Linked DNA regions of Lepisosteus oculatus. The protein of the gene in region 1 purifies or fractionates together with the protein of each later gene. This does not show direct contact. Links are inferred from orthologs where the notes say so. Each region holds a gene or a part of one and is shown in the gene's direction. Other genes may lie near its edges. The genes, in order: chd3, cyclin-dependent kinase 2-associated protein 1, mta2 and smarcc2.

What was found.
Region 2: the proteins of chd3 (region 1) and cyclin-dependent kinase 2-associated protein 1 purify together in Homo sapiens (affinity purification with mass spectrometry; 6 studies listed by BioGRID and IntAct, with this or other methods). This does not show direct contact. The link is inferred for Lepisosteus oculatus from reciprocal best matches to the Homo sapiens genes CHD3 and CDK2AP1.
Region 3: the proteins of chd3 (region 1) and mta2 purify together in Homo sapiens (affinity purification with mass spectrometry; 8 studies listed by BioGRID and IntAct, with this or other methods). This does not show direct contact. The link is inferred for Lepisosteus oculatus from reciprocal best matches to the Homo sapiens genes CHD3 and MTA2.
Region 4: the proteins of chd3 (region 1) and smarcc2 fractionate together in Homo sapiens (co-fractionation; 3 studies listed by BioGRID, with this or other methods). This does not show direct contact. The link is inferred for Lepisosteus oculatus from reciprocal best matches to the Homo sapiens genes CHD3 and SMARCC2.

What each region holds. Positions count from the first base shown.
Region 1 is NC_090698.1:7,522,161-7,529,277, forward strand, and holds the start of chd3 (chromodomain-helicase-DNA-binding protein 3), read left to right. Parts: upstream 1-4,104; 5' UTR 4,105-4,563; coding exon 4,564-4,732; intron 4,733-7,117. Other genes in the region: cyb5d1 (cytochrome b5 domain-containing protein 1), read left to right, coding at 1,581-1,799, 2,375-2,605.
Region 2 is NC_090717.1:7,570,813-7,577,925, reverse strand, and holds cyclin-dependent kinase 2-associated protein 1, read left to right. Parts: upstream 1-4,112; 5' UTR 4,113-4,230; coding exon 4,231-4,297; intron 4,298-5,333; coding exon 5,334-5,431; intron 5,432-5,625; coding exon 5,626-5,752; intron 5,753-6,410; coding exon 6,411-6,478; 3' UTR 6,479-7,060; downstream 7,061-7,113. Other genes in the region: sbno1 (protein strawberry notch homolog 1), read left to right, coding at 1-131, 468-610. UniProt on the Homo sapiens protein: Inhibitor of cyclin-dependent kinase CDK2. Also acts as a component of the histone deacetylase NuRD complex which participates in the remodeling of chromatin.
Region 3 is NC_090713.1:21,714,983-21,722,988, forward strand, and holds the start of mta2 (metastasis-associated protein MTA2), read left to right. Parts: upstream 1-4,991; 5' UTR 4,992-5,482; coding exon 5,483-5,510; intron 5,511-8,006. Other genes in the region: eml3 (echinoderm microtubule-associated protein-like 3), read left to right, coding at 1-26, 561-691, 1,297-1,503. UniProt on the Homo sapiens protein: May function as a transcriptional coregulator. Acts as a component of the histone deacetylase NuRD complex which participates in the remodeling of chromatin.
Region 4 is NC_090696.1:19,696,007-19,703,735, reverse strand, and holds the start of smarcc2 (SWI/SNF complex subunit SMARCC2), read left to right. Parts: upstream 1-4,725; 5' UTR 4,726-4,736; coding exon 4,737-4,847; intron 4,848-7,729. UniProt on the Homo sapiens protein: Involved in transcriptional activation and repression of select genes by chromatin remodeling (alteration of DNA-nucleosome topology).

The sequences.
Region 1 (7,117 bases):
CAGCTCTCAGTGGGGCAGAGAACAGAGTGAAAAAGCCACTTCATAGATGGAGATTATTAGGAGGCCATGATTGGTAAAGGCCAATGGGAAATTTGGCCAGGACACCAGGGTTACATCTCTACTCTTTTCAAGAAATGCCCTGGGATTTTTAATGACCACAGAGAGTCAGGACCTCGGTTTTATGGCTCATCCGAAGGACGATGCCTTTTTTACAGTATAGTGTCCCCGTCACTATACTGGGGCATTAGGAGCCACATAGACCGCAGGGTGAGTGACACCTGCTGGCCCCACTAACACCTCTTCCAGCAGCAACCTTCCTCAGCAACCTGCTGAGCTTCAGTGGGTTGCCAGTTATGAGTTGCAGGGTGATATGGCTGCTGGCTGAACTCAATATGTTTGTACTTATTTTGTAGTAGGGCAGATCTTTGCTGTTTGCAAAGATCACTGCTTCTCTCAACAGTGGAACCTGCATTCCTGTCTCACCGCGCAGGTGGCTCAACGGGAGGAGGAAAGTGCGCTGTCCACACCCTCCCCATACGGGATCCCAGTAGACTAACAGACGGGAATTCCTGATTCAGAGGGATTAAGAAATAAAGGAAACTGTAAAAAGAGTGATTGCAAATTATAAAAAAAAGAAACAAGCAACAGATTGTTCTCTGAGGTCCTCATAAAATGGCCAGACTGTGCCCATTGCTGATGTTTGCTAGGGCCTCACTGGGTCAGTGTCTTGTTTTCAGCACAGCACTTCTGTGTCTCCACTGCAGTGAAGTAAGTTGGCCTGTAGATGTCAGTGTGGGACTGTACTTTGCAGCATTTTCACAGCCTAAAGATAGTCCGTGGTTAAAGTCTTTAATCTCTAGTGAATGAGACTTCGCCATTTACCAGTTCATAGGCCTTGTCCCAGAGGGGAGCCCCTTTGAAACCCTTCTATTCCAGCTGAGCTCATCAGAAATTTTAGTTTAGCTGTCAAAAATCTTGGAAGGATTAGTAAGAGCTATCAGCCTTCAACCAGCTTCTGGGTTTCACACCCCTCTTCATTCAGATGAACAGAACGTCAGTAACTGGGCCTCTTCAGGGTACATAGTTGATTTTTTTGTGTCTGTTAGATAAGTGTCATTCCCACCTGTCTGTGAACACCTGTAAACACCTCATGTGTTAAGTTCTACATTAAGGCTGACACACAGGATCATACATACTGTGAACAATAGTGGCATAGTATTACATTACTATGTGCAGGTGCTACCTGATCTTCTGTAATGGGAGCTGAAGGACTGCAGTGCTGGTGCTAACCATGCAGGACAGTACTCAGAGCTCTGGACTGATAAATGGAATAGGTTCATTTCCCGGCTGGAGCAATGGTTTTGAACCCATGGGCAGGTTTCAGTAAAACACCCAGCAGCATAAATGGTTGCATGTAAGTCTCTATGGATAAACGAGCAAGCCAAATAAATTTATAATAACCATTTATGGGTTGCTAGGCAGAGAGAAACACAATAGCACCTGCTTCTAGGTCCAGGTCTTAGGCACTGTTTCACTGTCTCCTTACTCCTCTGTTTGTAAAGCAACCTTGTCACCTACAGATCCGGACCCACGTCGACCCCCTGTCAGGCTGCAAGAAGTACTACACCCCCAGTGGGCGTTTCGTCCACGTGCCTCCACCTTGGCCCTGCACCGACTGGGCCAACGACTTCGGCTGCCCCTGGTGGAGAGACGGCTGCTACGAGGTGGGGGTCCTGTCAGCCAAGACCCGCCACGTGCGCATCATCAACACGCTGACTTCCCAGGAGCAGATGCTGGAGGTGAGCCGCGCACTGCTGCCTGGCAAGGCGTTCCTGCAATATTTAAAAAAAGGGGCATTTCTCATGATTTTGACAGTACGGTTTTCACCTATTTATTTCCTAGAATACCTCCAAATGTAATATTTAAAAAAAAATAAAAAGAGGACAAAAAAACAGTGACATTTCTAGTGTCGTACAGAGAGTGTATTTCTAGTCTCGGAGCTGTAAAGTGTTCATATCACAGGTTGTATAGCAAAACTATTCCATTTTCTCTTTAAAAAAAGCAAGCTCTTGGATATATGCTGGATATTTTGGGCTTGTTCCCGCATTTTGCATTAATTTACGTGTACTGTTGCCTGGGGATAAAAACATTAAAGCTATTTGTCGATTTGCTTATTCAGAATACTTAGTAAAATATGAAATGGGTCAAACTGCCGTGCAACGGGAGTCTTAATTTGCATCGCGGTTGTTTTTCATGGTTTTTTTTGTGTAACCCCAGTGAGTATTCTTGGGAGGCCCCTTTGTGCTCGAACCTGTGATTCAGGTGACGGCACAGATCTCGGTGTCCCGACTGTCTCCCTCGCCTGTCGTCCCAGGTGTGTTCCGAGGAGACAATGTCGGAAATCCTGCAGCGCTACCTGAAGTACAACTCCCATGCTGCCAGTTACACCTGGAAATACGGCGGCGTCAACCTGGACATGGGCAAGACGCTGTCGGAGAACGGGATCGCCGACGAGGATCAGGAGTTCTATGAGCTCCGCATGGACCGGGACCTTTTCACACAGTCCATCTGTCTCTATTTCAACGACGATCTCACCGAACTGTGAGCTCCGCTCCACTGCACGTCCACACCCCTTCCACTGTCCTGTTAGTCCTCTCTGCTTCGCCAAGAAACTGCTTCAGTTTTGAGCTCTGGTCTCACGACCCTGGGAGCCACCCAGCTCTACCGGCCCCATCTCTGTGATCTCTCTCCAGTCTGAGACATGTATTGACCAGCTGCTGCTGATCCCCCTCTGCCTCTGTCCCTGCCTCTTTCTCTCTTCTCCCACCTCTCCCTCTCCAGATCCCTCTGTCCCTTCCCCTTGCTCTCTCTCTCCGTCTCTCGCTCTCCCTCCCCCTTTATTCACAGCTGGATGATCGCAGCTCATGACCTGTTCTCAAGGGTTGCTTTTCGGTGATAATAAAATGCGCTGCTTGTTATTTTGAGACATGTCTAGATATTTTGGACCTCTTTTTTTGCTTCCCGTGACACAGCTTGCTTTGGATTAACCACTGGGTGTTCAGTCTCACCTCTCGTGGAGGTGAACTCCCACAGGCTCCTCACTGCTCAGCAGGACACGGGCTGCAGCAGTCTGAGCTGTACTTGTGTGTATCTGAAACGTTTGTCCAAAGTTTATAGCTTTTTTTAAATGAGGTATTAGTGTGTTCACTGTTTAAGTTGTATTATTATTAATTTCCCCTATTCCTTCATCCAGCTTACATTTGATACCATAATTGTGTAAAATATATTGGTGTAGTTCATTAACACAGCTATATATTTACAGGAGTCCAGGCATTCTTTAATAAAAACAAAATATGTAACTAGTTATTATAATTCCCTCAATGGCTATTTCTTCAGTTGTTTTAAGTATTTCATTTCCTCTTAGGCGCCTTCTGTATTTAATGGTTACAGACACCACCTCCTTCATCCTGTGCTCGTCTCAATCACATCAATAAATCGGCCACCCATGTCTACGTGTCGTGTTGAGCAGCATCCCAAAGCGCTTTTACAACAAGTCGAACTGCAGAATAATTGTAGTTAAAAGTCCGGCGGAGGCATCACGCGTAATAAAATAAGGCAATTTCGTCGTTTTCTGCTCGCCGCACGTTTGATTAAAATATATATACGCGTTAATTACCCCTGTGTATGTTAAAAACAAATACGTCCTCTATAACCTAAAGGTTTTCACAGTTTCACGACTATCATTATTATTAATACTAACAACCTACAAACGTCTAGGAATTTAGTCATCGGATATTTTACATCTCGGTGCTTGATTTGAACAAAAAAAGTGGCTTCACTTTTCATACGCTGCAAGTATATTTCTGTTCTGCATTTGAAGATAACTCTGAACTTCGGTTTTAAGCCTGTAAATCGCGCTAAATTGGCTTTGGGTGTTTTTTGTTCTTTTCGGCGCAGAAATGTAGAAGTTGCATTTTAATATAGCGAGCTGATGTAAGCACGAATAACCCCCCCTCTCTCTCTCTCTCTCCCCAGCCTCCAGCTCCCTCTTCCTAAATCATTTTATTTCGGGGTGGGGGCCTTTAAAGATATGAAGGGAGCCATATTTGTTAGATTTCGCATCGCTTTCTGCAGTGCGGGGAGTGAGGGTTATAAGAATGCTCTCGAAACAAAGGACAGTAACCAGCGCTAATACACATGAAAAAAACAACGCGATAATGTGATTTACGTGCAACGAATACACCCTTTATTTGACAATGTGTGTATGTTTTTTTTTCAGAATGGAGGGAGGGGAGAGTGGAGAGAGAGAGAGCGAGTGAGAGGAGGGGGGGCGTTTTGAAATAATATAGTCAGCCATTTTTTATGTAAGGGGATTTTTTTTTCTTATTGGGGGGGTTGTTAAAAAATAAATATAAGGGCGGCCATCTTTGTTTCTCTGCCTTGTGTGTAAAATATTCCAAAACGCCCCCCATTTTTTTTGGCCGATTTGAATATTAAATAAATTTCATAATTCCGGGAGAAGACCTTTTTTATTTCCTATACACTGGGCCGGCAACAGGAAAAATGTCCTCTCCTCTTCGAGGCTGTGAGGAAGATGAGGGCATGGCGGTTAACTCCGAGGGTGGAGATTTCGATGAAGAAGAAGACGGGGAAGACGGAGCGCTGGACGAGAACACAAGCGACATATATTCGCCGGCGGCGCCTAGAGAAACTGCAGCAGTAGCCGCGCCAGGTACAGTACGGGCTGCCTAGACACGGGAGCGCGCATAGGAACAACCTTAAACAATCATAAGAATAATAATCGGAATGCAAATAAATCCCATTTTAATACTGTTCATTACCTGTTCCACACCGTGATGAGATAGCACTGAAACTGCTTTAGGAAGTCTAAAGAGTTAAAGCGCAACTTTAACCAAAGTACTGTGCCGAATCGACGAAGCTTGAAGCTTTTTTTAAAAAAAAAGATTCTTTCGCATAGCTACCTAGTTTTGAGAGCCCCCCACAACACACACACCACCACACTACAACCCCGTAGAAGACGCACACTTTCCATTTCCCTGTCTCCCCGTGTAATACATATGTACATATCTTATCAATGAAGTACGTATGAATATCTTATCATTGTTGTCGCGATTGACACCCGCTGTGGCGCCGTGACCTACACGTCTGTACCTTCCTATTTTGTTGTTTTTGTTGGTAAATGTAGAAAAAAAATGTTTTATTTTGGAGGGAGGAGGATTCTGGAGTGACCGGATTCATGAAAGAGGGTGTTGGTGCGTGTGTGCCGAGTGTGAGAGTCACTGACACGCCGCTGACCCTCCCCGCTGTCTGTAACTGTTGCGGGTGAGAGCGTACACAAACCACACTGCGAGATAGTGTTTTTCCTTCCAGTGCTGTCTGTGTGGGGGATCTCCCAAGCGACCCCCAATTATACAGATCAGATGGTTTCTTTCTCTACAGGAGAGAGAGAAACCCGAGAACAGCGATGCATAAACACATAAAAGACCTGTCTGCTTCACCCCCCGAACCTTCGAGATGTTTAAAGTTCATAAAATGAGAAACAGCCCCATATTTCTTAAAATCTGCAGTTATATTGCTATTAATGTCGGTGTCGATTGAATGAATACATTCGGAAGTAACCAAAACTATGAAATGAGTTAATTTCGCATATTTAATGTATTGAAAATACCTAGATGTATATAGGCTATACGTACGTTTAATATGACCTTTATATATTGTAATATTAAATTAAATTATTAAAAACAGTAAATAGTACATACAGTTAAAAAAACAGTGAATTCAAATCTTTATTTATATACACAAGTGATATTCAATTTCGATAACGCTGGGGTGGGTTCTGCCACTAAAAAACAAGTTATATGAATATAAATAACTTGTAAAAATGTAGTTTCACAAGCATATTTGTGTACCAGGATCTTTAGATGTAGGCTTTTTTTAAAAAAGAGTATTTGATAACGTTACCTCAAGAAAAAACAGTAGAAAACAACCAGAAACCTTTTGCATTCGGCAGACAGAAACAGGGAGACAACTACCGTGTCATTAGGGCGAGGTTCGCCTACCATCTTTCAAATATTGCCCCCCAATAGAAAAAGAGAACAGGTTTGGCGAGACACAGTCCGTGTCCCCCGATAACCCCTGCATCCTGACCCAGCTGTAACTTTGTGTCTGGCTGGCCGCAGGTGGCGGATATAAACTGTGGCGTCTCATCGCCTAGTTACACCAACTGAGCGCGGCGGGCCGCTGAAAGCCTGCGGGTTTGAGTAGACACCCAACCCCTCTGGCTCCGCTCTGTACTTCGGCGTGAGAGAAGTGTCTACCCCTCCCCCCCTAGTCGCGAGCTCCATTGCGTCGCCTGCGGCCAGTAAATTTCAGCAGCCTCCGAAAGCCTTGTAAACACGACAGAGATTGGCACATCACGTACACGATGGAAAAACGTGGCTGTAAAACAAAAGGGGGGAAAATACGAATTAACAGGCAAAAGACGAAACACGATTGGCGCCCTTCTGTAGCGCGGTAAAAACTACAGTCGTGTCAACGCTGAGAAAAAAAAGACCCAGGAGAGTTTTTGTGAGTATGGGAGAACACCCACTAAAGGAATTTGTTTATTATTCATTGTTCAAACACTTCAGAAAAAAATGCTGCTCTTAAAATAGTTGAGGTGTTTCGAGTTTCAACTCGGTGAATTTATCCTCCGTTCATTTCAGTTAAACGTAGGTAAGCGGAGCTAAAATGAAAGACCGGTTCGTTGGTTGAGCTTAACTGTAATGCTTTTTGTGTGAAGCCGGAAACTGATTTAATTTATTCTTTTGGTTTTTTTTTAGTTTTATGTTTCCGTGTTGTACGAATGGCATGTTTTTTACTTCTCTCAATCCGCAGGACCGGGATGTTTGTGGGACTAAGTTTTGACATAATATTTTAAGATCCTGGAATTTTAGCTCGCCTCTTAAACAGGCACCAACAACAATACGTCTTAATTATGCTTCTCACATAACTGTTTTTTGTCGCTTAAATGAAAGTTTTTTTTTAATGGTGTTAAGTTTTTGTTAAGTTTAAATTAAGTTTGTCTTCGGCATACAAATTGAAAATGCCCTAAATC
Region 2 (7,113 bases), on another chromosome or scaffold:
GTACTATGTCCTGTGTGGATCGGTGCTCAGTGTTTGGACTAAAGTAGAGGGCGTTTTAGCGTCGGTCAGTGGAACCAATGTGAAAATGCAAATCGTTCGTTTAAGAACTGAGGATGGACAAAGAATCGTTGGTAAGTGATGATAAAGTTCCCTCATCCCCACCCCCATGCAAGTCATCAGGAGGCCCCTGTTTACAAGCTTTAGCCCAGTGCTGTTATTTCATTTTGTTTTTATTATCTGTAAGTAGCATACAGCTGTTTATTATAACTAAAAGTTCATATGTTTTGGGCTTATTTAAATTTGGTTCAGGGTTTGCCTACCTAATTAACAAATGTGATTAGTAGTTAGGGTACGATTGGGTAGTTTGCTTTAAGGAAATAATACTATTAGTCTCTTAAGCGTCGGTGCTTCCTTCTACTGTAAAACTATCCAAGACCAATAATTTTTTTAATGTTTGTCATTGACAGGTTTGATCATTCCAGCAAACTGCGTAGCCCCGCTGATAAACATCCTGTCCTCGTCAGACCAGTCTCAACAACTTGCTGTCCAGCAGCAACAAATGTGGCAACAGCTTCACCCACAGAGCATTAACGCCTTCAGTAACACATAGCACCCAGCGTGGACTGGACAGTGGACTTAATGTGTTACATTTAAGAACATGCTCTGTGAGCACATTGTGAGGCAGTCAGAAGGAAACATTCAGGGTTCTTGTCCAAAGAATTTTCTTTCATTAGAAGTTCACTGGAACATTCAACACCTCGCACTTCAGTTCAGAACTGAAGAGACCTCTGTGAATTTCTGGAGGAGAAATGTTGAAACAGATAAAATATTTCTTCCTCTTTTTTTCATAACGTTTCATGTGCTTTCTACTGGCTTCTGGTCATAATTACAGGTTTGTTCTGTATCTTCTGCAAGTGGAGTGCTTGAACTTTATGACATATTACAGTGCTCAGGGGTTAGTTAAAGAAAACAATCACTTTTTTTAACTCTGATATGCTGAGAATATATATTGAAATGCATGTCACCTCCCCCTCATGTTCCTTAATGTGTTGATGCATACATTGTACAAAGCATGGAATTGCAAGTTTACTACACTGCATACAAATGTTTCCTGTTCCTTTCATTTAGTGTACCTTATATTCATGCTTATGAAAATGGTTCTCAAGGTGTAAATTCCTTTTAAGACCATGTTCACCACAGGGTTCAACATGCTAAAATTGTGACCTTGCATGATTTTAAAAAAATATCATCCCTGTTTTCCCTTTGTGGTTCACTTTAGAATAAACATTTCTTTAATCATAGCTAATTTAAACAAAAACATTGGACTTGCAGAATGGCTAGTCATTGATCTTCAATAGTATGTTCATGAAGGTATATACTACCTTTTGTTCTTAAAATCCCCAAGATATCAGTCTGTAAACTGGAATGTCATTTACATTAAGGCCACTTCAACCTTGTCTGGTCTTGATTTATATTTTTTAATTTTCTATTTACACATTTTAATATTTGCTGTCTCTTGAAACAGATCTGATGCATTTAATTTCAGGACGGGACACAAGACTCTTTATAAAAGCTTTTCATTTGTGCTGTAAATGTTATAAGATCGAAAATGTTTCTCTTAAACTGGTATGGATATTTTGCTGTACAAATGTGTATAGTTACATATCTTAAATATGAATTGTTTGGCTTATAAGTAAAATTGATGTTTATAAGATATTGAAGGACAATGTCATTTCATGCTTGCACGAGTTGCACTACTGACAGATTTCATTGTATATTGAAATTAAATCTGTTTAAATTACATTGCTGCAAGATTAGGACATCTTGCATATGACCAATAAATCTAGAAAAACTTTGTGAGTTGTGGCTTGTGTCTAAGAGAATTATAGGAAAAAACTTTTTTGCTTCTTGAAAGTGTTTCAATTTGAAACATTCATTTTATACTTGGTTCTGTGCTTCAGATTAATTTTCCTCATGATGGTTTTCAATGGACATGACCAGAATGTTTTAGAGCAAGCTTGATTTTTTTTAAAGAACATTTTGTACCTCATACAAATGGCATGATTAGTCAAGTGTTTTTTAGAGCAATTTGCTGAATGAGGCAGGTTAGTTTTTTTTATTTTTGTTTCTACTCTTTATTTCTAAAAAGGTATAATGTTTTCTTCTGTACTTCAATGGAGGGCTCAGGTTCAGCAACTTCTGACTGCAAGCAAATGGGTTATTTTTAATTTGTCTGCTGAGAACTAAGAAAATAATCAAAGACTATAGGAAGATGAGATGCAGTTTGCTGCATGCTGATTACCTGATGAGATTAATCAATGAAAGCTACACATTCTTTTTCCAGGCTTGATTGTGATTGATTATGGAATCTGATTGTTTCTATTGCATAATGTATATGACCACATAAGGATTAAATTGTAATTATATTTTGTTGGAGAAGGATCTACAGCATATTGCTCAGGACTATTGGTTGGGGATCTCTTCCACTAGGAATCACCTCATGGAGTGTTTTTCAAGAGCCAAAAGCCAAACCTTCTTGGTTTGGGATTTCTGTTGCACAGAGATTTAAACACTTTTTGCTTTAGTCCTACTGCAAAATCCTGTTTTATGTAAAAAAGTAAATGGATCTACATTTGAGTTCAGTTATACTTTATGCAGTTTACACAAAAATAATAATCTTAAGGTCTATGTACCAAATAAATTTTATTTTTATCAAGTTTTAGATTCCTTGGTAAAACCTGGTATTTGCCTGATAATCCTAACTATAATGTGCTCTCATTGTTCCATACCAGGCCATTCCTAAAATTAACACTTGAATGTACATTATATTTGACTCTATAGTTGACTATTTCTCCTGTTGCTTCACACAGTCAATGGGTTATTTTCAGCTGATGGCCATCCTATTGTGCATGACAATAGCAAATCGTGGCCGTGTATAAACCAGGCTTGTGGACAGGCTCCGGCAGTTTGGGTGGTGAAGAGAGAATGCTTTTGTAAAAAATCTGGCCAGGAGGCTGTTTAATTTTGAAGATGAGCCCACAATCCCCCCATTCTCACACCCCCCAGTTAGGTGCGGAGCACGGAAAACGGTGGAACATGCGTCTCGACAATAGGCAGACAAAGTACAGTGCTAGGCATTCACGAACTCGCGCCATACGTCACTCCTGCTACCCATGGAAAAAATTAGCATTCACTTCGCTCATGTCGTGGGGTGCGAAACGTGGGCGGGGGAGGGGAGCGTGTTACACGATAGGAAGAGGTTAAGAATGGCACGCGTCCCCATTGTCAGACTTAGAAGTTCCTATGGCTGCCTCGTGCTTTTTAGATTTTTATATGCATCTTATATAAACTCATACATTGTATGAGCTAAGTAAACCGCTTATTTTCTAAACGTATTGGGTACGTTAAGCAAAATATGCGGGAAAATAGACCACCTTGTTGTTTTTAACTACCGCTTCCAGACAAACATTTAATCATTTTTGTCTGGAAAAGGAAATTATTGTAATTATCGCAACCCTTTCCTACCATGCATTCTCGATCTAGGTGGTAAAATATTACGACTAAAGTATTTACAGTATGTTCTCTAAATCTATGTGAGGCGGCGGGAACGCATTTTTCTTCCTTGCTTTAAAAGTAATTGCAATTATTAAAATATCAAAAAGTTATTGTTGCACGTTGATGAATAAAAAAAAAACACCTCGTCCCCTTAGTTTTTTAAATTAAAAATACATCTAAAAAAATACGATGGGGTTCTTCCTAAAACCTGTGATTGAATTTTTTTTTTAGAAAGTTTAAAACTTTAATTTGAAGTATAGCTGACGAAGATAACCCATCCGTTATCGTAAGAGTTGCTACGAGCCCGATTAAAGCAAAAATAAAAGTTTCAAAGTTTGACGTGGTCAGTAACCTGATAAAAAAAAAGCCAGGGTTCGGCAAATAATGTTTTTTAAAAAGCGTTGTTTTAAAATAGATTACGACCTCAAAAATATGAAATCTCTTTTCAAAACCGAATTTTAATCGCCGCGGCGTTTCCATATGAGTTTTGGGTCTGACCTCCTCGCTTTTGGTCAAATTGCCATAAATTTCCCATTGTGATGATAGATTGCATTGTGGGTGTCAATATAAAGTGACGGCCATATTTGCCGGTGCGGCTGCTGTAAACAAAAAGTGTCTGAGAGAGACAGAGACGCTTCAGTGAATTTCAGGACATTTTTATTTCTTTAATTTATAATGTCTCTGGGAATGTCTTACAAACCCAACCTCCACCCGCACATTCCTGGGACTTCCGTGAACCAAGGTAAGGCTGAAATATCCGCGAATTCTCCACTGAATCACTGTTTTATTAGATGCAAAATCCGCTGTTATAATGAATACCTGGGGAAAGCCCGTGTCTGTAGTTTTTGTCCAGTTATATATATAGGGTCAGATCCTGAGAGCTGATTCATATCCGCCATTATTACTAATCATAAAAGCTTTTTTTTTTCCGCATCCGCAAAGTAGAGAAACGGAGGTTAACTCTTCGCTGGGGACCGGGTTTGCGGTAGCCGATACCCGCTTTTGTTCGCACGGATGCTGGAAGAGTGTTATAAAAAATGTATCACTTTGGCTTCTTAAATCAGCCCGTTCGGTATCCTCCATGATTGTCTCCCCAGGGCCGATGATTGATCTGGATCAGGAATGTTCTTTTTTTACGCTCTGGGGACACCTAGCGTTCAAAATGGCTTACTGCACGGAAGGCTTACATGAATTGAATGCCTGTAGTGTAGGTGACCGAGAGAGACTCAATTGCCTAAAAAAAAATCACCTCTGAAATACGGAATACCAGCCGAAACGTTGTGTTTCATTTCTTCTCTTTTCAGCACGGAATAAACCTGACGCAGCTACCTACTCGCACCTCTGAAATGTGTTTTTCTAAATTCTAAATAATAATGATAAGTGTCCAAAATTCTCAGAAGCTACGCCAGTACGCACATACAATTGTTTCTGAATTGTATGTGCCACCAATTACCCCGCGGTGCGACGCAGCAAATATACAGAGGCTATCTCACTTTAAAATATAATTAAGAGATTACATATAATTTGAATTCTAATGAAGTCTTACGAGTAGCATTGACAATTGAAACTGTCACGATTTTGCCTTGCGAAATGTAACACAGTACAGTTTAGAGCGTTCACATCTGCAAGCAGCAGCGAATGTAAATCAAGTACAACACAACGTGCCCTGGCTGGAGTTGTTCTTCTGTGTTTCGGGGGGTGGGTCTGGGGTGTGTGGAGGAGCTTCAGAAATGAGAAACGATTCCTTTTGACCTCATTGTCCGTCTCTTTTCCTCCAGTCGGGAATGTCCACTCTCCTTCCACGAGCTTAGCCACACTGCAGTCTTACCGGCCACTGGTGAATGACTACGGGCTGCCATCCTTGGGATTTTCACAGGTAATTTTAGCTCGATCAAACCACCTGGTGGTTAGTCTAACTGAGGCGGAGGTCGTGCCAAGAGAGGCTGGTGAGCAATTCCGTTCGCTCTCCGTGGGCACAGATGTTGCCAGTCCCTTGCAGATGCCCTCTGTGTGGTCAGTGAATTGCCCTTTCTAAGAGGACTCAGCCCAGGAACTGTTCTCCTCTTGCAGGGGACCAGCGGAAATCAAGTGCCTCAAAGTAAATATGCAGAACTCCTAGCCATCATCGAAGAGCTGGGCAAAGAAATCAGACCGACGTATGCTGGGAGTAAAAGTGCCATGGAGAGACTAAAACGAGGTAATTAGTTTTGTTTAAGTGAGTCATTGAATCTATTATACCTTAATCAGCCAACTACATCACAGTGTACTTTGGCTCCGTTTTCAGCAGGTTTTAATCCCGATACAAAACAGCATTCATCTTCCGGGATGCATCTTACTGTGTAAATATAAACAGGTGATCTGTAGTCGCATGCAAACTTCTGACTACTGCAGCCACTACACAAAGTGGAGATGGAGAGAACCACCCAAGGCTCAAGTCCAATATTTTCCCAGGCTCTTAAAACATAAGAGTGGATACAAGCGAGGGGAGGCCGTTCAGAAGATGTTGCCTGTTTTGATAGTTAGTAGGTAATTGTTCCAGCTCATCCAGCTTGTTCCATACCCCCACCAACCTTTTTGTAAAGTTTAAAACTCATTTTCACTTAGTTTGCCCTTGTGTCCTCTGGTTCACGTTGCAGTTCTCCAGTTCTCTCTGAAAAAGTCTGCTGGGGTGGACTGTGGCAGTGTCCTCAAGCATTTCATATGCTTTCTTACGGGGTCCCCTAGTCGCCCTCTCTGTTCAAGGCTAGAGAGATTCAGTCCCTCGGCCTGTCGGTGGTGTACAGTATAGTGACATGATGGCAGGGGCCCTTGAGCGAGCGAGAATGATGACGTGTTGTTTTTCTTTCTTTTCCAAGGGATCATTCACGCTAGAGGACTGGTACGCGAGTGCTTGGCGGAAACGGAGAGAAACGCCAGGTCCTAACCACGGGAACAATGCTTTCACACAGAAACCCTGAACAGCATCTCGCAACCCTGCCTTCTAATCATTCTCTTTTCAGGAAAGCCAGATAGCTTTCCAGGAAAGCCAGATAGCTTTCCAAATAATAATAATAATAAAAAACTTTTGACGTCTGGCCTGAAGAATGCAGAAACGAAAGCTAAAAGACCAGTATATAAAACTATACTTGACATGAACCTCTTCAAGGGTTCTTTATTCTTTTTTTTTCCATAGGGGGATTTCTGATTCTTTCTTGACTGCTTATATATAAAAAAAAATAAAAAAAATAAATAAAAATCTGATGACTTTGCATGCATGGTAGCAAGTGCTCCCAATTAAAATTTAAAACTGCATGGCTTGTACAGATTTAGACTGTAGCAAGGGACATTTTAAGATGGAATAGGGCCTAAGATTCAATATTTTTAACACACTAATACTTAGGAGACTGAGAAAAGGATAGTGCCAAATACACCACACACCGGATTTGGATAAACTATTGTAATAAAGCCATTATTTGCATCTTTGTATGTATTTATTACTCAGTGTAATAAAACTTATTTTCATTAAGACCTGCTGTGTTGAGAGATTCATTTCTGTAGGGTACCATTGCACAACTGCAA
Region 3 (8,006 bases), on another chromosome or scaffold:
CTGCGTTCTGGGGTTCCACGTCATGGGTGAGCATCGCCCCCCCGGAGCCCCACACACTCGCACAACCGTGCAGCCCCTTTCTCTCCTCTCCGTCTCTCTCCGCCCTGGTTAACGCAGTCTTGCGCCGTTTGTCCTTTATCGATTGCTCCTGTCTGCTCTTGGGTGCTGTGTCTTCTGCACCTGCACTTGTTAACACTGTCCTGTCCTGCTCCGTTTGTCCTTTATCGATTGCTCCTGTCTGCTCTTGGGTGCTGTGTCTTCTGCACCTGCACTTGTTAACACTGTCCTGTCCTGCTCTGTTTGTCCTTTATCGATTGCTCCTGTCTGTGCTTGGCTACTGTGTCTTCTGCTCCTGCACTTGTCAACACTGTCCTGTCCTGCTCCCTTCATCTGTTCACTCTTTATCGACTGCTCTGCCTTCTGCACCACAGTGGCGTGAGCTCCTTGGACATGAGAAAATGACTGAAGGAATAAAGGATTAATTAAACGTGTCTGTCTTTCCCTTCTCACTCTCCTGTCTTAATCCCTGCTGTCTCTCCCTCCTCTCCCTCCTGTCTCAGGAGTGTGGCTGGAGGGCTCAGATGGCACGGACATTAACGCGCTGTGCCGCTCTCACAGCGAGAGGGCAGTGGCAGTGGCCGATGACTTCTGCAAGGTCCATCTGTTCCAGTACCCCTGTCCCAAGCCCAAGGTCAGTGTGCGGACCCACCCCCACAGGCGGCCTGTAACACCCTGACATTGTCTTCAGTACAGCACCCACCGGGGTCAACAGATGTCCCTCCCTCACCAGAAACGTGATTTTGTCGAAGGACAAGCGAAGTCCTTAGAGATCACAAAGCCACATGAGGGTATACCCCCTCAGACTGCAACCTCTGATTGCTTAACCTCAGTTTTTCGGGCTGTAGCTGTGTAACCTGACCCTGGGTCCTGACCTGCGACCCCTGACCCTGGAGGGCTGGCGGAGGTCACCTGACCCCACCCTCCACAGCGCCCCCTGCTGGCCGAGAGCGCAAGCGAGCGAGCCGGCCCCTCGGGGGGGACTGCCGGCACTGGGCCTGTGGGAATCCCGCTCCGAGCGGCTCCGTCCCCCCCGACGCATCAGGGGCCTCGTTTTCCGGCGCCCAGCGGGGGCGGGGGGCGGGGGGCGGTCCCTACGATGCCAAGCCCTGTGTCGCTCGGCCAGCCTCGTCCCCAAACCCCCCCCCCCAAGTCCCACCGAGATCCGCTCGGAAAGCTGCAGACCCTGCTGGGGGGGCGTCTCCCCTAACCCCTTTTCTGTCCCCCCCCCCCCCACAGGCCCCCAGCCACCGGTATGAGGGCCACGGCAGCCATGTGACCAACGTGCGCTTCACCCACAACGACAGCCACCTCATCTCCATGGGTGGGAAGGACACCTGCATCCTGCAGTGGAGGGTGACGGGGGGCGGGGGCGGGGGCGCCCCGCTGGACCGCAGCTCCTCGGTGTCCTCCAACTCCGTCAGCTCCCAGGAGCCCGGTCCCTAGAGCAGAGGGGCCCCGAGAGAGACCGCTGACGGCTGAGGCGCGGGCTGGTGGGAGAACTGGCCCTGGTGTGTGAGTGTGTGTGTCAGTGTGTGGGTGTCCTGTGATGGACTGGCGTCCCGTCCAGGGTGAGTGAGTGTGTGTGTCAGTATGTGTGTCCTGTGATGGACTGGTGTCCCGTCCAGGGTGAGTGAGTGTGTGTGTGTCCTGTGATGGACTGGCGTCCCGTCCAGGGTGAGTGAGTGTGTGTGTGTGTCCTGTGATGGACTGGCCCTGGTGTGTCAGTGTGTGTGTGTCCTGTGATGGACTGGCGTCCCGTCCAGAGTGTACTCCGCCTTGCACCCAGATTCTCTAGGCCAGAAAAACCCATGAGAGATCCTGTGAGTCAGGGCAGCTCCAAACAGAACAAGCCAGCGGACCGGGACCTTCCTCTCCTTTCAGCAGCCTCTCTCTTCCTCCTCCTCCTCCTCGGGTTTGCGCCTCGGGCTGCAGAGGGACCACCAAACCCAGGCCCACGATTTCGGACCAAACGTCGTTTTTCTCATTCTGTACAGAGATTGTTTTATAGAGATGCTTATGTCTTATGTCTGTTTTGATTTTTGATTTTTTTGTTTTGTTTTTGTTGCAAAACCTACACTCCAGAAAATGTGATTCTTGGCTTCTCCTCCCCCCCCCCTCCTGGAATAAACAAAGAAATCTCGGAACCAAGCAGGGTGGAGGTCATTGGGGTGCGACAGCGGGCTGGTCTGGTGGGGGGTCTCCCGGCTGTGAGACTGGACTGGGACCACCAGCAGGGGGCTCCTAGATTAGATTAGATTATTCTTTCTTGCCACACAACTGTAGCTGGTTGAATTTGCTTTCGGTACAGCACAGAACACAGGTGGGACATGCATACAACATGTACAGTACAGATTTAAATAGGATCCCTGCTGCTGTAGGTGCTGAACACAGAAAGAGACCTAGAACCCCCCCCCATCCTAGAGTAGGGGGGCACAGCGTCGCTCATGGGGAGACAGGAGGGTGTGGGCTGTCCTCCTACCCCTCCATGACTTCATTGAACTCGTTACGGGCTGAATCAGACAGGTGGGGTCTTTTTCCTAGTCTCTGAGAAACGGGAGATTCGAAGAGACCCACTTACCCTGACTGTGGACTGTGGCCCTTGAGGGCCGTGATGGGGGTCCCCTGCCCTGCAGCTGGGTGTCTCAATCGGGGAGGGGGGGGGCTGAATTCTGACCCCACTGGAGGTCCGGTGTGTCCGTCTAGCTCGTGTATCGAAGGCTTGAAACAGCTCGTCGCCGGCTTCACTCAAGCGACGTTCCGGCTCCTCCGGCACTGTGGCTGTTTATAGTTAAAAAAGAAAATAGAATATTTTTTCTGAGACTGTAGGTTTAATTGAAGGCTTTCGGTCAATTGTGTTCCCTCCTGCGCAGTACCACGTGTTGCCAGCAGAGGGCAGCAACGACCTGCAATTCAGCTGCATGGCTCCGATTCCAACGAGCTAAGAGTTTGCGGCCTTATTTTAGTTTTAGTTATTGGTTTTAAGACACGGCACGTACTAACACTGCCCACGGGTGGCGCACAAACACAACCGGGAGTGAAACTCTGCGAGACAACCCCACAACGAGCTGATACCCGTTTGCAGTTCCCTTTCGTCTTTTCCGAGCTGGAAGACAACACTGGCACATCACGGCCCAGACTGGAGCAGGAGTCGGAAAAGACAGGGGGTCTCGGGGAGACCAGTCTTGAGACCCCCCTGCGTCTAAAACAGCTGTTCCAAAGGATGAATAACTTCAGAGAGGTCTCCCAACCAGAAGGTCATAACTTAATAATAATAATAATAATTGCTTACACTTATATAGCGCTTTTCTGGACACTCCACTCAAAGCACTTTACAGGTTTTGGGGATCCCCTCCACCACCACCAGTGTGCAGCCCTACCCACTTACTTAGAAGTTAATCGATCCCAGGGTCAATCCATTTCTCGAAAGTTTCGATTCAAGCTTTATTGCCCACTGGGGAAGTTTGTTTTACACAGCACCCCAACATGACAAAGACGAAGACCAAGCAAGATGTCGGCGCAGCACTGTTACAGCATGCTGAGAGAGAAGATGGATACGATACATAGCAGCCAGGGTATCGCCTTCAACACCACGGCTGGGCAGCTTGTCCCCCACCCCCACCACCCTCTGTGTAAAGGCGGGCCTCCTGCGCCCAGACTGGAGCGTCTCACCCAGCTGCGTCTTGAGTGACGTCGAGGTTATCAGCCTCAACAACGTGGCTGGGGAAAATAGCTCCACGCTCCCGCCACCCTTGGCGTAGAGCGGTGCCTCCTGTCCTGCTTGTAGGATCTCAGCCAGCTGTGCCTTGAAAGAAGCCAGGGTATCGGCTTCAGCACCGCGGCCGGGCAGCTTGTTCCACACTCCCACCACCCTATGTGTAAAGTGTGTGTGTGTGTCTCTCTCTCTCCCTCCCTCCCTTCCCGCCCGCTCTCAGTCTGAACCACTCTTCCACTCAGTTTCCTCTGGCGTCTTCCTGGTTAGCCTTTCAGTGTCGAACGCCTCACCGCCCCCCCCCCGATAACAACTGGTGGGTTGAAAACGCGCTGAAACGGAACTTTTTCCGCCCGTGCGGCCTTTGCGGTGCCGAGCGCGGCGGCGGCGGGGCCAGATCCGGTCCCGCACGACGGGTCGAATTGGAGCCGCCGAGCGGGGCGGGACTTCCGCGTCCGTGCCCACCGCCGGCTGTGGGGCGCAGCGGAGCCGAGAGACCGGCCTCGGGACGTCCCAGCGCCCGGCTGCGTGCACGGCGACCTTGTCTCTTAATGACCCCCTCCCCCCGGGCTTGGACTGCTGCAGGGGGGGCGATGCAAACCACCGCAGCCAGCCTTAAAACACACGACGCCCTCGCCTCGCATGACCCCGGGCTGTGGCTGTCAAAAGCGGTAAACACGTGTCGCAAAAAACTCCCCCCCTCCTCCTCCTCACACACACAGAAAAGTTCAATAAGCGTTGGTGTCCCCGGTAGGATAATTACAGAGCGACGGGAGCATTTCTCGCACGGCATCTTCGGGAAGGGTTCCTGGACGTTGCGGGTTCGAATCCAGGGCGTGCTGTGCCCCCTCCCGTCCCTCGAGGGGGGGCTGCGTAGATCAGACGTATCGATGCACAAATACAGTGCGAGCAACTTCTGCGATTATTCAAAGGGGGGGGAGGGGTATGTGTTAACACCCGGGGGGGTGCGTTTCATTGTCCATTGCTTTGGCCTGTCGCTCGGTGTCGCCCTGGTGCGGGTAGTTCGGCGAGACGAGACGGGATCCCCAGCCGAGACGAAACCCGCCGGAGATACCCGAGCGCGGCCGAGGCGAGTCCGGCCCGGGCGGCGAGATGGTCCACCCCTGAAGATGACGTGAGCCGGCGAGGAGGGAGAGAGAGAGAGGGAGGAGGGGATGTGGCGTGTGTGTGTGAGAAGAGAGGTGAGGAAGAGGAGGATGAGGCTGGGAGCGGAGGGTGGGAGGAAGAGAGAGAGACGGGGTGGCTGTGTGTCGGGACTGTGAGCGAGTGACTGCGGAGGAGAGGGCGCTGGTGGACTCTCCCCTGCCGGACAGGAACAGCCGTGGGGCGGCGGGCGGCGACACGGGTTTTCTTCCACCCAAAAAGAAAGAGAGAGAGAGAAAAAAGAAGGGGGCTAAACCTGGACAACACTGTAACGGAAAGTTGTAACTTCGCGAGTGGCGGCGCGGGTGATCCCTCGCCTTTTGTTTCTAGGCGAAGGGCGGCCCGCCTCCGAGGGGGAACCGGGATCGGATCGGATCGGATCGGCGCCGGGAGACGGATTTTGCCTCCCTTCTTTCGTTTTGTGTGTGTGGTTTTATTTTTTAAATTCCTATTTCAAGAAGAAGAAGAAGAAGAAGAAGGGAGAATTGTTTCGGCCGCAGCCGACGGGTTTCCCTCGGCCGGGTGTCTGTTCAAGACGGCGACCGGAGAATGGCGGCCAACATGTACAGAGTCGGGGGTGAGTTCGCCAGTCGGGTTCCGAGTTCGGGTCGCTCCTGTCCCGAGGTGGGGGGGTTAGGATGCAGAGAGGAGGTGATGGTGAAGGAGGTGGTGGGGGGGTTGCATATTTTTTTATTTCCGTGCGTGTCGCTCCAGCCAGCGAGAATTGAATCATCATCATCATCGTCATCCTCGGTTCGGGGAGAAGAGGCACCGATCCATCCCGGTGCTCCGGTGACATCGAACCGGGTCTCTGTTCTGCCGTCGAAGCCCTAGGCCCCGAGCACCCCTCTCTCTATCCCCCCGGTGATCTCCGGAGGAAGTTTGGCGAAGGATTTTTATTCAGTTTGTGTTTGTGTGAGTGAGGGGGGTGGCGGGGTCGTTTTAAATTAAAACCGCAAACTGTTTCCTTTCTTCTTGTGCGAAGAGAAAGGGGAAAAAAAAAAACACCCGGCCGACGCCGAGACGGTTCGTATCTTCCTGTCCGGAGAGGCTGAATTTTGGGAAGTAAAAAAAAATCTAACACAACCGGTTTAAGGTCCCGGAACCGCCGGTGTCTTTTTTTTGGGGGGGGGGTGATTGAACCGTGCGAGGTGGGAGGGAGGACGACGACGACTTGAATTTGTTCAGTTTAAAAAAAATAAATAAATACAAACTATTTCGGGGACTTGTTCGCGGAACTCCACGCAGGACGCAGGTTGCCCACGCCACGGGGTTCGTGAGCGAGCGAGCGTGTGTGTGGACGTTACCGAGGGCTCGGCGGTGCGGAGAGGCGATCTGCTCTGGTCGCGTCTGAAAAGGCGACATGTAGGTCACACACACACACTCTCACACACACACACACGGTTCGAGTGGAGGGTAACCGGTATGGTCGCGCAGAACCAAACAAACACAAAAGGAGCACGCGTGGCGCGCACACGCCACGCAGCTGGCGTGGAAACCAGCTGAACGGGAGCCCCGGCGGAGTCCGCGCGGCCTGCGTGTCTGTGGCTGTCGCACGGGAGGAGGAGGAGGAGGAGGGGGGGGCGGATTTTATCGCGAAGGCGGAACCACCGTGTCGGAAGCCGTCGCGCGGCCGGTAGCGAGGAGGGGGTTTCGGGGGGCCGCTGTGCAGGCACGAGGCCTTGAGGGGAGGGGGTGGGGGGGCTTTATTCTTTATATCTTGAAGCCCTGCTGTTGAGGAGCTGCCCTCCCGCCCCCTCTTTCCCCGTGCGTGGACTGTGACGCCAATAACACACAGCCAGGGCGCCCGTGGGACAGACATCCACCCCGCCACAGCGCGGGGGGCTCGCTGCTGGACGTGCCAACAACTGTCTGCCCCCCCCCCGACCTTTTCGTCCCACCCCCGGGGGCAAAGTATCACGGTGTAGAGACACACGTGAGCCTGCCTTGTCTCCTGTCTCCTGGCCTGCCGGGGTGGGGGGGTCTCGAAGCGACCCAGTCGATTTTAAGGTGGAAGTTTTTCAGGAGTGAGCGAGACGCCTGGGGTTCAGGCCCCCCCCCCCCCCCCTGCGGCGGTGGCGGTGGGCTTCAGAAAGGTCTCGGCCTGTCTCCCTGCTGCCCACCCTACTAATGCCCCTGCAGGCTCTCTCATGCCTCCTTCCCTTCGTGTGCCCTGGTGCGAGCTCTTGTGCACACCTCCTTGCACCCTCCTTGCCCTCGTGCGCGCTCTCGTGCGAGCCCCCTGTGCACACTCGCTCGAGCCACCTTGTCCTCGTGCACACCCTCTCACCCTCTGCTCCTTGCCCTGGTGTGCGCTCTCGTGCAAGCCTCCTTGTCCTCGTGCACACTCTTTCACCCTCTGCTCCTTGCCCTTGTGCACACTCGCTCAAGCCTCCTTGCCCTTTTGCACACTCTTTCACCCTCTGCTCCCTGCCCTGGTGGTGCGTGCTCTTGTGCACACCTACTTGCACGCCCCCTTGCTCTCGTGCGCACACTCTCACCCTCTGCTCCTGGCCCCGGGCCACACCAGAGCCCCAGTGACTCAGGACAGCCCTCCCCTGCGGCCCTGGTGGCCCCGTATCTCTGCTCCAGCGACCTCAGCGCTGCGCCCCCATCTCTCCGCGCCCTGAGGGTCTGCAGGGTCCGGCTTCTGGGTCCAGCCCCCGCTGCTGGAACAGGCTCGCTGTGCCGCTGGCCTGTGTGGTCATCAGCCCGTCTTGGTGGTTTTCAGGAGCTTTTTCCTCTCCTAGATCTGGAGGTCCTTATACCCTCTCGTTCTAGTGTGCGTTGTGAAGGGGGGTGGTTGCCCACACTGAGCGGTAAAGACCAGTTTTTGGGGTTAGATAATGGCAGGGGTGTCCAGTCCTGGTCCAGGAGGGGTCAGTGTGTCTGCAGCAGGGCTGTCCAGTCCTGGTCCAGGAGGGGTCAGTGTGTCTGCAGCAGGGCTGTCCAGTCCCGGTCCTGAAGGGGTCAGTGTGCCTGCAGCAGGGCTGTCCAGTCCTGGTCCAGTAGGGGTCAGTGTGACTGCAGCAGGGGTGTCCAGTCCTGGTCCAGGAGGGGTCAGTGTGTCTGC
Region 4 (7,729 bases), on another chromosome or scaffold:
GTGTAGGTGTGGTCCGAGGGGGATGGCTAAATGTGTTCGCCAGTCTCACTGCTTGTGGATAGAAGCTATTGAAGAATCTAGTGGTCAGTGTCCATATGCTCTTATATCTCTTGCCTGAGGGCAGTGGGGTGAAGAGCTCATGCCCGGGGTGGTGACTGTCCTCTGTGATGGCCAGAATTCTACCACGGCAGCGGTCCTCATAGAGCTGTTTAATCTCGGTGAGACCGCAGCCGATGATCTTCTGGGCCACATTGACCATTCTCTCCAGTGCCTCTCTCTCTCGAGAAAAGGTGTTGCCATACCACACGGTGATCCCGTTGGTGAGGATGCTCTCGATGGTGCAGCAGTAGAAGTTCACCAGCACATGTATTGGCATCCCCCACGACTGGCACCTCAAGAAATAAAGGCGTTGCTTCCTGATAGAGTCAGTGTTCACAGTCCAGGTTAGATCTTTAGAGATGTGAATTCCCAAAAACCTAAAGCTGGTGACTGTTTCCACTCCGTTCCATCAATACTGAGTGGGCTGTGAGTGTATGGCCTGTGTCTCCGAAAGTCCACTATAAGCTCTTTCGTTTTCTTTATGTTCAAGTCCAGGTTATTGCTATGACACCACCTAAGCAGCTGTACAACTTCATCCCTGTAAGTGGACTCGTCATCATCACTGATCAGTCCTATTATAGTGGTGTCATTGGCAAACTTAATGATGCGGTTGTTGCTGTGTCTTGCTGTGCAGTCGTGAGTAAATAGGGAGTACAACCTTGGACTCAGACAGCAGCCTTGTGGGGTTCCAGTGCTCAGGGTGAGTGGTGATGTTTTATAGCCTATCCGCACCACCTGTGGTCTCTCGATAAAAAAGTCCAGCAGCCAGTTGCAGACAGAGTTGCACAGACCTAATCCCCTGAGCTTTGTCACCAGTTGACTGGGTATGATGGAATTGAATGCTTAACTGTAATCCACAAACAGCATTCTCACACACGAGTTCTTAATGTCCAGGTGTTCCAAGGCTGTATGCAGAGCCAGGGAGACAGCATCATCCACTGATCTGTTGTTTTGGTAGGCAAACTGCAAGGGGTCCAGGGACTCCTTGCAGTGTGACAACACCAGCTTCTCCAGGCATTTCATCACCACAGATGTTAATGCTACTGGGCGGTAATCATTCAGGCATGTCACTTTTGCCTTTTTGGGGGTTGGAACAATAGTGTTTTTTTTAAAGCAGGTGGGGACCATGGACTGTGACAGGGAGGAGTTAAAGATGTCCGTAAACACTGTGGTCAGCTGGGCTGCACATGTCCTCAGGACGCGAGGTGGTATCCCATCAGGCCCTGCAGCCTTATGGATTTTCACCCTGCTCAGAGTCTTCTGCACGTCCTGCTCTGAGAGTTTCAGAACAAACTTGCCCTGCACACTTGGGGTCTTCTCAGCATTGCCCATGTTCAGAGCATCAAAGCGGGCATAGAAATGGTTCAGCTCGTCAGGCAGGGATGCGTTGTTCGTGTCAATCTCCTGGCTGCAGCCCTTGTAGCCTGTGATTGACTGTAATCCCTGCCACAGCCTCCGGGTGTCAGCGCACTGCGTTTCAGCCACAGGCACAGACCCTTAGCCACAGAGCCACCATTCCACCCCAATCCCCCCTGCACCCCCATGTCGTGGCCAAATTTCCCCCTGTCCTTTACCAATCATGGCCTCCTAATAATCCCCATCTCTGAACTGGCTCCATCACTCTGTTCTCCCCCCCCACTGAGAGCTGGTGTGTGATGAGCATACTGGCGCACTATGGCTGCTGTCTCATCATCCAGGTGGGGCTGCACACTGGTGTTGGTGGAGGGGAGTCCCCATTACCTGTACAGCTTTTTGAATGGAGTGTCCACAAAAACACTATATAACTATTGATTACTTATTTTTATTTGTATGTATATTTTTATTTGTATATATATATGGCCAGCAGCCATATCACCCTGCAACTCACAACTGGCAGCCCACTGAAGCTCAGCAGGTGTGAGCCTGGTCAGTACCTGGATGGAGACCTCCTGGGAAAAACTAAGGTTGCTGCTGGAAGAGGTGTTAGTGGGGCCAGCAGGGGGCGCTCACCCTGCAGTCTATGTGGGTCCTAATGCCCCAGTATAGTGACGGGGACACTATACTGTAAACAGGCGCCGTCCTTCGGATGAGACGTAAAACCAAGGTCCTGACTCTCTGTGGTCATTAAAAATCCCAGGGCGCTTCTCGAAAAGAGTAGGGGTGTAACCCCGGTGTCCTGGCCAAATTTCCAATTGGCCCTTACTAATCATGGCCTCCTAATAATCCCCCTCTATAAATTGGCTTAATTACTCTGCTCTCCTCCCCACTGATAGTTGATGTGTGGTGAGCGTTCTGGCGCACTATGGCTGCACACTGGTGGTGGTGGAGGGGATCCCCATTACCTGTAAAGTGCTTTGAGTGGAGTGTCTAGAAAAGCGCTATATAAGTGTAAGCAATTATTATTATCTCTGAAGAAGAGAAGTGAACAAGACCTGTTACAAAGAAGAGCCCCTCAGCCCCTCTGGCCCGTTAGGCAGTGAGTAGCCAATTGATCTGAGGAAGTCATCATCCAGCTGCTTCCTGAAAGAAGCCGGGAAATTAGGGTCAACAACATGGCTGGACAGCTTGTTCCATACGCTCTACACAAAGGGTTGTGGGAGTGTGGAACAAGCTACCCAGCCATGTGGTTGAAGCTGATTCCCTGGGTTCTTTCAAGAAACAGCCGGATGAGATCCTCATATCAATGAGCTAATAATTGCCACACGGACCAGGTGCGTGGATGTCCTCCCATTTGGAATTGGTCACATTCCACTAAAGACACTACCAAGGTCTGGGCATAAACCCCTCATCTGTAATCTGTGCTTTCTATTAGTAAACCAGTTCCAAATCCAGACACACATTTCCCTGAAAGCCTGATGCCCTAATCTGGAAATTAATATTTAATGATGGAACTTAATCGAAAGCCTTCTGAAAGTCTAAATACACTCTTTCCTAAGCTCTGTGCGTATCCAGTTCTGCTGTTGCTTGATCAGAGAACTGTAACAACTTAGTCACGCAAGGCCTCCCTGGTCTAAGTCCTGTTGTCTATTCCCATGGGTATTATTACCACATACTGCAGGCGAACCTTTACTTTGGGTCTGTTACCTTCTTCTATATCTTGTAGGTAATAGAGGTCAGACTTATCGGTCCATATTTACCTACAGGGTTCAGTCACCCTTCTTAAAGAGGGGTGCTATATTGGCAGCTCTCCAGTGCCTGGGTGCGACCCCTCCCTTGAGTGAGCGTCCGAAGAGTTGTGTCAGCGGCTTCTGAACCACATTTCTCATTTCCTTCAGTGAAATCGGTACAATACCACTGAGTCATGGGGATTTATTCATCTTTCGTCATTCTAGTACTAAAAAACACTTCTGCCTCTTCTGGACAAAGACACCCATCCGCTTTCTACCCACTTCATGAGGCAGGGTACACCCTGGACGGGACGCCAGTCCATCACAGACATACACACTCACAGCAGGGCCAGCCATGACACAAGCCACCAGCATGGCTTTGGACTGCGGGAGGAAACTGGAGCAGCTGGAGGAAACCTACAGGAACACGAAGGAAACATGCAGACTCCACACAGACAGCACCCCAGGTCTGGAATTCGACCCTGGACCCCAGTGCCAGTGGGCAGCAATGCTGACCAGTGCCCCAGCGTGTCACCCTGTGCTGACAGAACTGAATACAACTGTGTGCTTCCTCACTGTGTTACTGAGGCAGGCTTCCTCCTTTAGGAGCCCATCGGTGCAGCAGATGTCGATAGATGTTCTGTCTAGATGATTCGGGTCCCATAACAGCTTACGGCACAAGTTTTGGGCAGAGCAGTGGCTCTGTGGCTAAGCATCTGCGCCTGTTGCTGGTTCAAATCCTGCAGCTGGCAGAGAAATCCTACTCCGTTGGGCCCCTGAGCAAGCCCCTTAACCCCAGCTGTTCCAGGGGTGCTGTGTAAATGGCTGACCCTGCGCTCTGACCCCCAGCTTCTCTCCCTGTCTGTGTGTCTCAGGGAGAGCAAGCTGGGGTCTGTGAAAAGACAAATTCCTAATGCAAGAAACTGTACATGCCCAATAAAGTGATCTGACCTTATCTTGGCACATCAGCTATTTCCCTGGTGCTGTCTATTGTCCATTATTGTCCCTGATAACATATTACTTCATCCTTAATAGTTCTGTTACTGCTCTTCTGCATTCAAGGGGGACTATTGTATTTTTCACTGTTGTGTACCCACAGTCAATCATGTTCAGTCAATTATTTAAATGAAGACTGTCCTTTTCTGACCTTAAAACTGCACGTCTGTCACACACTCACTTACACATGGCAAAAAAAATAAATATTTAGTGCTAAAAAGCTCGTCTTTCCTCCTCGTTCTGTTTATGACACCAGCAATCATTTTTTTTTTGCCTATGATAAAATCCTCTATGACGAATTAATAAAGACGGTATTTCACGAGGAGAGACGATTTATGTGAGAAACTGCGCGGCAGGATGCGCCATGTTGGATCTAACTCCTTCCTTTTTCACTGTGGGGGTCTGGCCGCGGTACCGGAGCCAAGATGGCGCCAGTTTCGCCTCGACCTCCTCTCCCTGGACGCGGCTGGCCGCAAACCCGCAGCGCCGCCGAGCAGCCGCCAGGTGGCGCCCGATCCCCCTCCCCCTGTTCTGTCTACAGGCGACCCAGCAAAGATGGCGGTGCGGAAGAAAGACGGCGGCCCGAATGTTAAATATTTCGAGGCGTCCGATACGGTTTCGCAGTTCGACAATGTCCGCATTTGGTTGGGCAAGAATTACAAAAAGGTACCTCTTCATTTTCCCCCCTTTTTCAATGCCATGTCTGGGTGTTTTTTGAAAAAGAGCTCCGGAGACCAGGGGGCTGGGTGAGGCGGGGGGAATTCTTGAATCCGGCTGAGCGATTCAGCCGAGACACAATGAGAGCCGCCCAGAAAACAAAAGAGACCCCGATGTTATTCTCCCCGTCATCCCGGCTGCAGGGGTGCGACCCCTCGGGCTGCCGGTTCGGGCGCGCGGAACGAATCGCAGTGCACAGCAGGGGGCAACCTGTCGCGTTTGAGCCGCGGCGTGTGTTTAGTGTGTTTGCGTGCGTGTCATTCCTTGATTTTGTCTGTTTTCGCAATTTAACTGGCAGGCGGAGATTCTCGCCAGCTGTTAACATCTGGCAGCCCCTGGCGTGTAGCCAGCGGTACTGCACGGCGGCGGGGGGAGCCGTGCGTGTTCTGAGATAACGGCTCTGACAGCCGTGGCCTCCTCCCCTCGCCCCGTCAACACTGCGGGGTCGTGTGGTGCGGGAGTTTCGCGTTTCGATGTTGCGCGACAAAACCTCAGCGCTGTCACAGACAGACACACACACGCGCGCGCGCGCGCGCGCCCCCTCCCACGCGAACAGCGCCCAGCCCCACTCAGCCCCCGGCTCGGAGCGCGAGGCTGCCGAGCGGCCAGATGTGCTGTCCTATCGCAGCGCGTGTGTGCTGCGTGAAGTGATTCACGCGCGGCGCAAAGTGGAGAAACGCACGAGAGGTCAGTGCTGTACTCTACTATACAGTGCAACCTCCTGCACACTGACTGACTGATATTGAAGATTGATCCTGGATGTGCTGTAGTGTTCAGTCAGTGTCTCTGTACTGTAACTGTACTGTGTAGTAATGTGCTAAACTACAGTGTCCGTTAACATACTAGAGTATTTTTGAAGTATTCCATTGTATGACACTTTAGGGTGATGTACTGTATAGTGCTGCGTATTGCTTTACGCAGTCAGTGTGTCTGTATTAACCCCTCTCTCTCAGTGCAGTGTTAATGTACTGTAGTGTCCAGTCAGTCAGTGTGTCTGTATTAACCCCTCTCTCTCAGTGCAGTGTTAGTGTACTGTAGTGTCCAGTCAGTGTGTCTGTATTAACCCCTCTCTCTCAGTGCAGTGTTAGTGTACTGTAGTGTCCAGTCAGTATGTCTTGATTAACCCCTCTCTCTCAGTGCAGTGTTAATGTACTGGAGTGTCCAGTCAGTGTGTCTGTATTAACCCCTCTCTCTCAGTGCAGTGTTAGTGTACTGTAGTGTCCAGTCAGTATGTCTGTATTAACCCCTCTCTCTCAGTGCAGTGTTAGTGTACTGTAGTGTCCAGTCAGTGTGTCTGTATTAACCCCTCTCTCTCAGTGCAGTGTTAGTGTACTGTAGTGTCCAGTCAGTCAGTGTGTCTGTATTAACCCCTCTCTCTCAGTGCAGTGTTAATGTACTGTAGTGTCCAGTCAGTGTGTCTGTATTAACCCCTCTCTCTCAGTGCAGTGTTAATGTACTGTAGTGTCCAGTCAGTCAGTGTGTCTGTATTAACCCCTCTCTCTCAGTGCAGTGTTAGTGTACTGTAGTGTCCAGTCAGTGTGTCTGTATTAACCCCTCTCTCTCAGTGCAGCGTTAATGTACTGTAGTGTCCAGTCAGTATGTCTTGATTAACTCCTCTCTCAGTGTAATAATAATATAATAATAAACTTTATTTTATATAGCGCCTTTAAAGGTGGCTTCTCAAAGCGCTTTACAGGATGACAATAACAATAAATAAGAAGACTACAACAATAAATACTGTTAGTGTACTGCAGTGTCCAGTCAGTGTGTCTGTATTAACCCCTCTCTCTCAGTGCAGTGTTAATGTACTGTAGTGTCCAGTCAGTATGTCTGTATTAACCCCTCTCTCTCAGTGCAGTGTTAATGTACTGTAGTGTCCAGTCAGTATGTCTGTATTAACCCCTCTCTCTCAGTGCAGTGTTAATGTACTGTAGTGTCCAGTCAGTATGTCTGTATTAACCCCTCTCTCTCAGTGCAGTGTTAATGTACTGTAGTGTCCAGTCAGTGTGTCTGTATTAACCCCTCTCTCTCAGTGCAGTGTTAATGTACTGTAGTGTCCAGTCAGTATGTCTTGATTAACCCCTCTCTCTCAGTGCAGTGTTAATGTACTGGAGTGTCCAGTCAGTCAGTGTGTCTGTATTAACCCCTCTCTCTCAGTGCAGTGTTAGTGTACTGTAGTGTCCAGTCAGTGTGTCTGTATTAACCCCTCTCTCTCAGTGCAGTGTTAGTGTACTGTAGTGTCCAGTCAGTCAGTGTGTCTGTATTAACCCCTCTCTCTCAGTGCAGTGTTAATGTACTGTAGTGTCCAGTCAGTGTGTCTGTATTAACCCCTCTCTCTCAGTGCAGTGTTAATGTACTGTAGTGTCCAGTCAGTGTGTCTGTATTAACCCCTCTCTCTCAGTGCAGTGTTAGTGTACTGTAGTGTCCAGTCAGTGTGTCTGTATTAACCCCTCTCTCTCAGTGCAGCGTTAATGTACTGTAGTGTCCAGTCAGTATGTCTTGATTAACTCCTCTCTCAGTGTAATAATAATATAATAATAAACTTTATTTTATATAGCGCCTTTAAAGGTGGCTTCTCAAAGCGCTTTACAGGATGACAATAACAATAAATAAGAAGACTACAACAATAAATACTGTTAGTGTACTGCAGTGTCCAGTCAGTGTGTCTGTATTAACCCCTCTCTCTCAGTGCAGTGTTAATGTACTGTAGTGTCCAGTCAGTATGTCTGTATTAACCCCTCTCTCTCAGTGCAGTGTTAATGTACTGTAGTGTCCAGTCAGTATGTCTGTATTAACCCCTCTCTCTCAGTGCAGTGTTAATGTACTGTAGT